2 linked regions of the Canis lupus familiaris genome follow. The protein of the gene in region 2 purifies or fractionates together with the protein of the main gene of each other region. This does not show direct contact. Links are inferred from orthologs where the notes say so. Each region holds a gene or a part of one and is shown on either strand. Other genes may lie near its edges. The genes, in order: CD81 and CD19.

What was found.
Region 1: the proteins of CD19 (region 2) and CD81 purify together in Homo sapiens (affinity purification with western blotting, with the first as the bait; 3 studies listed by BioGRID). This does not show direct contact. The link is inferred for Canis lupus familiaris from reciprocal best matches to the Homo sapiens genes CD19 and CD81.

Annotation. Positions count from the first base shown.
Region 1 is NC_049239.1:46,911,157-46,915,550, forward strand, and holds the start of CD81 (CD81 antigen), read left to right. Parts: upstream 1-1,585; 5' UTR 1,586-1,784; coding exon 1,785-1,850; intron 1,851-4,394. UniProt on the Homo sapiens protein: Structural component of specialized membrane microdomains known as tetraspanin-enriched microdomains (TERMs), which act as platforms for receptor clustering and signaling.
Region 2 is NC_049227.1:18,583,666-18,588,075, reverse strand, and holds the start of CD19 (B-lymphocyte antigen CD19), read right to left. Parts: upstream 2,923-4,410; 5' UTR 2,859-2,922; coding exon 2,771-2,858; intron 2,535-2,770; coding exon 2,280-2,534; intron 1,946-2,279; coding exon 1,742-1,945; intron 1,633-1,741; coding exon 1,318-1,632; intron 296-1,317; coding exon 188-295; intron 1-187. UniProt on the Homo sapiens protein: Functions as a coreceptor for the B-cell antigen receptor complex (BCR) on B-lymphocytes. Decreases the threshold for activation of downstream signaling pathways and for triggering B-cell responses to antigens.

The sequences.
Region 1 (4,394 bases), on a different chromosome or scaffold from region 2:
GAAGACAAAACACGCTAGCTGGACTTGACTTGCTCTGAGGGCCGGTGGATGGAGCTTCTGCCCTCCACCTAGCTCCCCTTCCCAGATGGTGGGCTCATGAGCCCCCTCTGCTCCCCTTCCCAGAGGGCCCCGGGAAGGCCTTTCTCAGAGGATTCATCCCACAGCTTTGGCAGGAAATGAACCTATCACTGTGGTCAGCGGGGGCCTGATGGGAGAGCAGAGTGCCCAGGACACGTATGCAAGCATCCTGTCACCCTGGAGACCTCTTCTGCCTCCTTTTCCGCAAAAAGAATCCTAGCAGGGCCACCTGGGGAGCTCAGTCGGTGAAGCATCTGCCTTCGGCTCAGGTCAGGATCTCAGGGTCCTGGGACAGAGCCCTCCATCAGGCTCCCTGCTCAGTGGGGAGCCTGCTTCTCCCTCTCCCTCCTGCTTGCACACTCCCTCTCCCTCTCTCTCTCAAATAAATAATCTTTTTTTAAAAAAAAGAACCCTGGCAGACCCCAAGTGAGGATGTAAGCCATTTTTATTATAATGTTATCTCAACACACACAAACACTACACTATGTACAAACACGTGTGCATAGCTCTTATACAAGCAGGAAGCCAGGATGGACTTTGATTTTATTATTATATTTTATTTATACCCCAACTTTCTTTTTTTAAGTAGGCTCCACACCCAACACTGGGCTTGAACTCACCATCTCCAGATCAAGAGTCCCATGCTCTACCAAGTGAGCCAGCCAGGTGCCCCTGGAACAGATTTTTTTAAATTAACCACCAAGAAAACTACAGAAATAAGAGTACAGAGACAGGAGTAAGCTAGGGCTGCTCCGGCTAATAGGAAGCTGCTGGCCACCCAGGGCCATTCCCACTGCAGTGAAGTACAATGAAAAATCTGGGTCCTGCTGGGTGGTGGCACTGGCCCCGTGTCAAGGGGTCAGCAGTCATTTGTGCCAGGGTTACACGGAACATTTCCACTTCTTCATCCGAGAGTCACCAGGCCACAGGTCCGCTCTGTCACCTGGGGAGAAGCACTGCCCACTTGATGGGTCCCCTCCTGCCCGCATCCCCATCAGCCTGCCCCCCGGCCCCCATCTTCAGAAAACCGACTTGACTGTGGGGCTGGCCTCCACCGGGGTGAGCAGAGTACACAGTGTTTGGAGGCTGTCCTACAGGTGGCTGGGGTCTCCTGGACATTTAACACCGGTCACCGTCTCAGGGACCTTTCCAAGCAGACTCTGTCGCCGTGCTCAACAACTGCCCTTACCGTGGATGACCAGGATTTTCAAGCCAGGCCGGCTGGCTGTCAGGCTCATCACCCACCCTGGGGGGCACTCGCTGCTGCATCACCTCCTCCAGGGAGCCTCCTTGGATTGTCCGAAGCGCCTGGGGAAGGCCGAGAGAAGGGGAAGGTGTTCGCAGGGCGCCGCGAGGCCGGCCGGCGTTGGGCTCGGGGCACCCAGGTCTGACCCCCGCGGAGCGCGCGCTCCGGGGGCGGGGCGGGGGCCGGGGGCGGGGCCGGGGGCGGGGCCGGAGCGCCCTATAACAGGCGGCGGGGGCGCGCGCGCGGCCAGAGAGCGAGCGCGCAGCGGCGGCGGTCGACCCAGCGCGCCCCGGCCCGGCCTCCCGCGCCCCGCGCCCCGCGCCCCCGAGTACCCGCGCCCCGAGCACCCGCGCCCCGGGCCCGCGCCCCGCCCCGCCGCCCGCCAGGCCCCGCGCCCCGCGCCCCGGCCCGGCCCGGCCCGCCCCGCGCACCCCGCAGGCCACTCGCCGCCCGCGCCGCCATGGGGGTGGAGGGCTGCACCAAGTGCATCAAGTACCTGCTCTTCGTCTTCAATTTCGTCTTCTGGGTGAGCCCCCGGCGGGGGGCGGGGGGCGGGGGGGGCCGGGACGCCCCGAGCCCGGCAGGCCGCGCGCCCCACTAGGCCGCGCAGAGGGGCCACCTGTGGGCGCCGGGCGGGGGGTGGTCCGGGGCCGGCAGACGGGCGGAGGGGGTGCTGCGAGCCGGCTGTCGGGGCGCGGGGCCGGGCCGGGGCGTCCGGGGGGCCGTGGGGGCTGAGCCCGCCGAGCGATGGCGGGCGGCGCGGCGGGAGCGGGCTGGGGGCCGCGGGCCGCCGTGAGGGGACCACCCTGCTCCGCCGGCACCGAGGGGGCTCGGGGGGCGGGGCTCCCGGCGCCCCGCCCCCATGAGCTCATCCGAGCCGCCGCCCCTGGAAGGACGGGGGGGCGGGGGGCGGGGGGCAGGGGGGCCGCGCACTCGGTGCGGTCCTGGGAAGCCCTCGCCCCACGGCCGGCCCAGCAAGCCCTGCCGCCCCGGGGATGGCCGTGGGGGGCCCCCAGCGGCCCGCGCCTGGTGGGGCCGGCCCCCTGCACTGCCCCCCCAGCCCGGGGTTGCAGCCTGCCCCGGCCAGGACGCGGTGGAGGCTTTGAGGGGAGTGGGGCCAGGGCGGGCAGGGGGCCCCGTGGACCCGAGCGCCTCTGGGCCCCTCCGGAGCCTGGGTCCCAGGGGATGCCCAGGTCTGGGCTTCGGTCTGAGCTTGGACGTCCACCTTGGAAGAGGTAGCCACAGGATGTTCATCTTGGGGTGCAGGAGGGTCTCAGGGCCGTCAGGCTGCTGACCTGCAAGTCGCGTTTTCCTGGCCTGGGTGGTAACTGCTGGCCAGGAACGCTGGAGCTTTGGCTTTGTTTCGGTTTCCTGCCTGTGTTGGAGTTGGGGAGGGGCCCCGAGTGGGTGCAGGAACCCCTCTCCTGGCGCTGCCCTGCCTCCTCGTGGCCAGTCATGTTCCCCCCCCCCACCCCCCACCCCCCGCAGGACCTGGGAACCTTCCTGGGTGGCTGTGTGCTGCTCGCCACCCAGGCTGCTCACTCCTTCTGGGAAAGGACCATGACAACATCTGCTGGACAGTGTATTTCCCAAGTAGATGCAAGAGGGTAAACTTTTAAAATGGTCCCCAGAGCAAGTGTGTGGGATTGGGGACATCTGTTTCCGTTCTGGACATCCGAGGATCCCAGCGTGGATCTTGGGGCAGTGAGGTGTTTGGGGTGGCGGGGACAGAGACTGGACGGAGCTTTAGCTGAGGGTGAAGTGGAGGCATTGCCCCCCGCCTGGGTGGGAGGCACAGCTGGGGGTCGCTGTGGCCACTGGCCTCTGCCTGGGGAGTGGGGAGCACGGGGACTGTCAGGATGGGCCAGGTATGACCTTAACCATGCCTGGGGTCTTTGCCGAAGAGGTGGTGTTGAGTGTCGATTTAGTATTTGCCTGCTATGGCCTGGGTGTATAGGGGTCGGGGTGAAGGGACACCCAGACACCCCTCTGCTGGCCTCTGAGCCCCTCCCCTACCAGCGGAGCCTGGATGTGGGGTGAGGACCCTGACCAGGAAGTGGAGGGTAGACAGACATAGAGGCTGTCTTCTGGAGTAGATTCTTGTCCTTGGGCTGAGTGTCAGCTCTGGGTAAGTCCCTCCCCGCTGCCCAGCTTGGGAGGTCTCCAGGGCAGCCCGCGCTCACCTCCCAGCTCTGCTTGAGCGAGTCCGGTAGTTCCCCAGGCAGCTGGGCAGAGGCCTGACACATCCCCAGGGGCTGCTCTTCATTGAGGCTTGAGGAAACGTTTCCAGGCCTCTCCTCTCCCAGCCACCCAGCTGAGCACTCAGCGCTGCATCCCACGGTCCAGTTGCCTCGGTCCCACCCACCCCTGCAACAGACATGCAGAGCTGAGCAAGGTGGGGCTGGGGGCCACCACTGTGGCAGAGCCCCTCTCTGCGGGCGTCCCGCCTCACCTGGCTGGCAGCATGGTGCCGAGGGGCTGGTTCTGGGTGGTGGAGCCCTGTCCCCTCTGCTGCAGTCCTGGGCCTTGGAGTCCTGCCCCCTGAGGTGGACGTTTTCCACGTCCTGTCTCCCGGGGCTGGCAGATTAGCTAACACCCTTACAGGCGAGCTCAGGAGGTGGTCGTAGGGCACGGATGGCCGGCAGGAAGACTGCTGTCCTGCTGTCCTGGCCCGGTGTGGGCTGTGCCTCGGGGAAGGGGTTTCGGATGCCCCAGAGGGTGGTGGGTGAGGGAGGGCACCCCAGTGCCTGGCCTGACTCGCTCACTGTGCACCGTGGCCACCGTACAGGAGTGGGTGCTGAGGGGGAGCCGGGAGGAGACTTTGACAGTGGGTACCTGCATCGGGGCAGTTTTAAAAGTTTCATTTCAGAGAGTGAAAAGGCTCACACATGGGAGCAGTCCTCAAAGGCAGCCAGGCTGGCTTCCCCAGGAAGGAGTGCGTCTCTCTCCTCCTGGAACCAGGACTTTGGGACCCCAGGTGGCATGCACTCAGCATGCCTGACCACAGCCTGACTTTGGGGCTCCCTGGCCTGGCAGGCATCAAGCCACGAGTAGGACTGCAAGCAGCAAC
Region 2 (4,410 bases):
AATGGAGGGGAGGGGACTTCAAAGTAAGTTGGAGGGCGGTTAGAGGAGTGGGAAGCAGGACTGGAGATCTGTGGGGGAGGTATGGAAAGAGAAAAGGTGGCTATCGGACTGGCTGGTGTGAGCTGTCCTGGGCGGTCCTGGGGAAGATGGGGTATGTTGGGCAGACAGGCTGGAGGACATGACTCACCTCTTCGAAGATGAAGAAAGCTCACCAGGGAACCCAGGCAGAAGATCAGATAAAGTAATGGCACAGCAGGGACTTTCCAGCCACCAGTCTCCAGCAGCCAGTACCTTACTGTGAGGGAGAAGCAGCTATGAGAAGGGACCCCAGGCTGGCATGCTGCTCCCCAGCCTCAAGACCTCAAAGGGGCATAAGTCTGGGGACATGGACAAGACACAACCCCCAAATCACAAGCTACCAGGGGGGCTCGCCTCCCTCCCTCTGAGGTCCGGGACCATGCCCCAGAGCCTGACCTGAGGCCTAGGGCAGTATCTACAGAAAAAAAACATTACTATAGTTAGACTATGTTGGGATTCAGGAGAGCATGAAGATCAGCTTCCTGCTGCAGTTAAGGACAGTCATGTTCAAAGTGAAGGACAGAGTCACATTCACAAAGTTAGAGGTAGGAAGCAGCAATGTACTGGGGTGAAGTGTAGAGTGAAAGTTGAGGTTGAGTTTGAGAACTGTGGTTACGGTTAGCATGGGAGGATTATATCAAGGGAGTAAGAAGGGGCAGAGCACTGTGACCAGTTTGATGGGTGGGTGAGGAAAAGGAAGGATACCCAGGTTCCTGGCTTTGGCCCATGGGCAGGTGGTAGTGTCCTTCACTGACACACAGACACCCACAAGACTTGGGGAAGATATTGAGTATGACTTTGTATATTTTGAACCTTCAGGGGCATCAAATGACAGGAAATGGCTGGGGGTGAGGTGTATGGAGCCTGGAATCAAGTCACTAAGGCGTGGAGGCCTAAGGAGTCATGGGAGTAAAGGAGGTCAAACAGGAAGAGTGTGTAAACAAGAATGAGAGAGCACTGATGGAACAGGATGAGGCCTCAGAGGTCCAACAGTGAGGGGGGAGGAGGAGAAGGAAGACCCTACCAAAGCAGTTGGGAAGAAGTAACCAGTGATAGGAGACCCAGAAAAGTAGTGATTTGGAAACAAGGGAGGGCAGAGGTAGCGTCAGTGGTCAGGATAGAAGCTGGGGTTTGGGATGAGTCTGGTACTAGCTCCCAGGTAGGGGCGCCAAGGTTGACTGGCTCCCAGTTCTTCCCAGGAGCCCCACACAGATGCCCCACCATTGGGAGAAGCTCTACCTGACTGGGCAATGACCTTCAGCTGCATCTCGACGGTCCTGTTGCCATGGTAACAACGATAGGTACCAGCATCTCGAACTGTGGCCTGGGGCAGCAACAGAACAGCCCCTCCGCTGAGGGTGCCCAGGACCCACATCTCTCTGCCTGGGGCATCCTCCCTCAGGTCTAAGCTCAGCAAGGAGATGTTATGCTTCTTGGGGCGCACGTGGGTCCAGGAGATGGGGCCTCTGGCCACGAAGGCAGGGGGCACCTCACAGGGCAGCCAGAATGTGGAGCCAGGGGCCACGATGAGGTCTGGGGCAGGGAGAGCCAAGGCTAGGAAAATGTGATCCTTGGGGTCTCCTCCCTGCAAACCCTCCAATTCCCAATCACCATCCCCTCATCCCTGAAACCCTCCCTTCCCGGCATCTCCGCAGCACCTTACCTTGGTTGAGGCTCTGGTTCAGAGTGCCCCGGGGCAGGGCACATTCAGGGTCTGTCTCCCAGATCTCAGGGTGGTCTTTTTCCCACACGTACAGCTGGGAGCTTGTGGGGTAACGAGAAGAGGGCTTGGGGCCCTCTGAGGGTCGGTTCCCCAGGCCACAGCCTGAGTCATTTAGGGCTGAAGCATTCCACCGGAAGAGCTCCCCTGGGAAGAGACCCAGAACCAGATACAGACACATCCAGGAAAGGCAGAGAGATACAGAGACCCAGAAAACCAAAGACAGATGGAGACAAAGACCCAGAGAGAGAGATAAGAACGACAACTCAGAGAGAGGAGAGAGTGAAAGATGGAACAGCTCAGTGTTGAAGTCACAAAGCCACAGGAGTTTTGAGGAGCCACCTGGAACCAGCGGCAGGCATGCTCGATCCTCAGCCCCTCCAGCCCCTCCTCCCAAATCTGTTTTAGCTGCTGAAGGCCTCCATCCGAGCTGGGCCTCCCTCTTCTCGTCCGCCCCTCCCTGCCCCAGCCCAGACCTCACCACTGCCTTCCACGCTGACTGTCCAGCCGGACTGCCAGGCCTGCTCGGAAGGGGGCCCCGGCTGGCACAAGTAGAAGCCCCCCATCTGGTCAGAGACGTTGAAGACGAACAGCTGGATGCCCAGAGACCCCTTCCGGACGCCCAGGCCTTGTGACCAGAGGCCCAGCTCTGACTGAGCCCCCTGAAACCAGGCCTGCTGCTCAAGGGGACCATCTGAGGGAACTTTGAGGCATGGCAGCTCAGCTTTGCCTCCCTCTGAGGAGAAAGAAAGAGGGAGAGGAACCCTTCGCCCCCTTCATTCCTCACACTGGATTATTACCCAGCACCCCCCACCAGCTGGGAGTGTGTGAGCTCTCAGAGTCCCAACTCCTCCCTGAATTTTGCAAATAACAAAATGAAGGCCCAGAGAGGGTGGGTTCCTTGGCCGAGGGCACCCAGCGGAAGCCAAGTTTCCACCCCCAACTCTTTCCATCTGTACCCTTTGGACATACCTTTAGCCTCCACCTGCAGTGTTTCCTGGGGCCTGACTCCCTCGGGTGTAAGGAAGAGGAGGAAGAAGAGGAGGAGAGGAGGTGGCATGGCGGCCAGACTCCCCGGGGCACCCAGCTTGGCCGCGCAGGGGATGCTGGGGCAGGCGGGGGCCTGGGGGGCACTGAACCATGAGCGTCTGTGGGGGCGGGCGAGCGGGCAGTCCCCCAGGGAGGAAGGGGTGGTCACACCTCCAGTCCCCTTCTCCATGCACCCCTCTAGACCCACAAAACTTGTCTTCTCCCTGCCACGCTTTTATTTTCATCCCGATACTTAACCACCGTGTGAAATGATCTTGTTTGTGTGTCTACTTGTTCACTTTCTGTTCCTCCCACTAGAATGTAAGCCCCTTGAGGCAGAGCCTTGGTCTTGTTCAACACTGTATGCTCGGTGCTCTGGGACGGTGCTTGGGGCATAGCAGGGGGCCCAATAAATATTTGTTGAATTGAGTGGCTCCACTTTTGGGGGCTCTCTCCTCCCCTTCCCTTCTTTAACCCCAGGCTTTAAACCCATTTCTCTTCACACACACACATACACCCCATTCATTTTTTCGACTGACATTTCTTGGGCCTCCTTCCCACTCGGTAAAACCAGCCTGTCACACATCCTTTGAGATCTGGAAGACTTGACTGAATGCTCTGTGCCTGGGCAGCCCGGGTGGCTCGGTGGTTTAGCACTACCTTCGGCCCAGAGTGTGATCCTGGAGACCCAGGGTCGAGTCCCACGTTGGGCTCCCCGCATGGAGCCTGCTTTTCCCTCTGACTATGTCTCTGCCTCTTTCTCTGTGTCTCTCATGAATAAATAAATAAAATCTTAAAAAAAAAAAAAAAAAAAAAAAAAGAATACTCTGTGCCTACCACTTGGCTAAGTTTCTTCATCTCTCTAAGCTCTGGTTTCTTTCTCTGTAAACTGGGGATAATAATAGCGCTAGCAAAATCTCATTTGGGGGGCACTGGGTGGCTCAGTGGTTGAGCTCAGTCTGCCTTCAGCCCAAGGCAGGATCCAGGATCCTGGGGTCCCAGGATCGAGTTCCGCATCAGGCTCCCCTTGAGGAGCCTGCTTCTCCCTCTGCCTATGTCTGTGTCTCTCAAGAATAAATAACTAAAATATTTTTTTTTAAATCTTGTTTGTGAACAGTTTTTAAAAAGATTTTACTTAATTATCCATGAGAAACACAGACAGAGAGGCAGAGGAAGAAGCAGGCTCCATGCAAGGAGCCCGATATGGGACTCAACCCCAGGACTCCAGGATCACACCCTGAACCAAAGGCAGGCGCTCAACCACTGAGCCACCCAGGCGTCCCTTGTTTGTGGACATTAAACAGGGTGGTGTACCTATGGCATTTGTCCCCAGGGCCCAGTACATAGTAGGCCCTCAGTTACTGAGAGACAGCATCAGTCAATGGCCAAGAGCACAAGCCAGGCTGCCCCTGGAGCTCCTGCACAGCAAACCCAAGACATGCCTGGTGACAAATGCCCCTTAGTCTCCCACTTCTTCCCCCAAGAAGCCCCTGCTTTGGTGATGGAAGGAACCCACTTAGAAATGGGGAAATTGAGGCCCCCAAAGGGCAAAGTGTTGCCTGAGATCACACGAGAACTGGTGG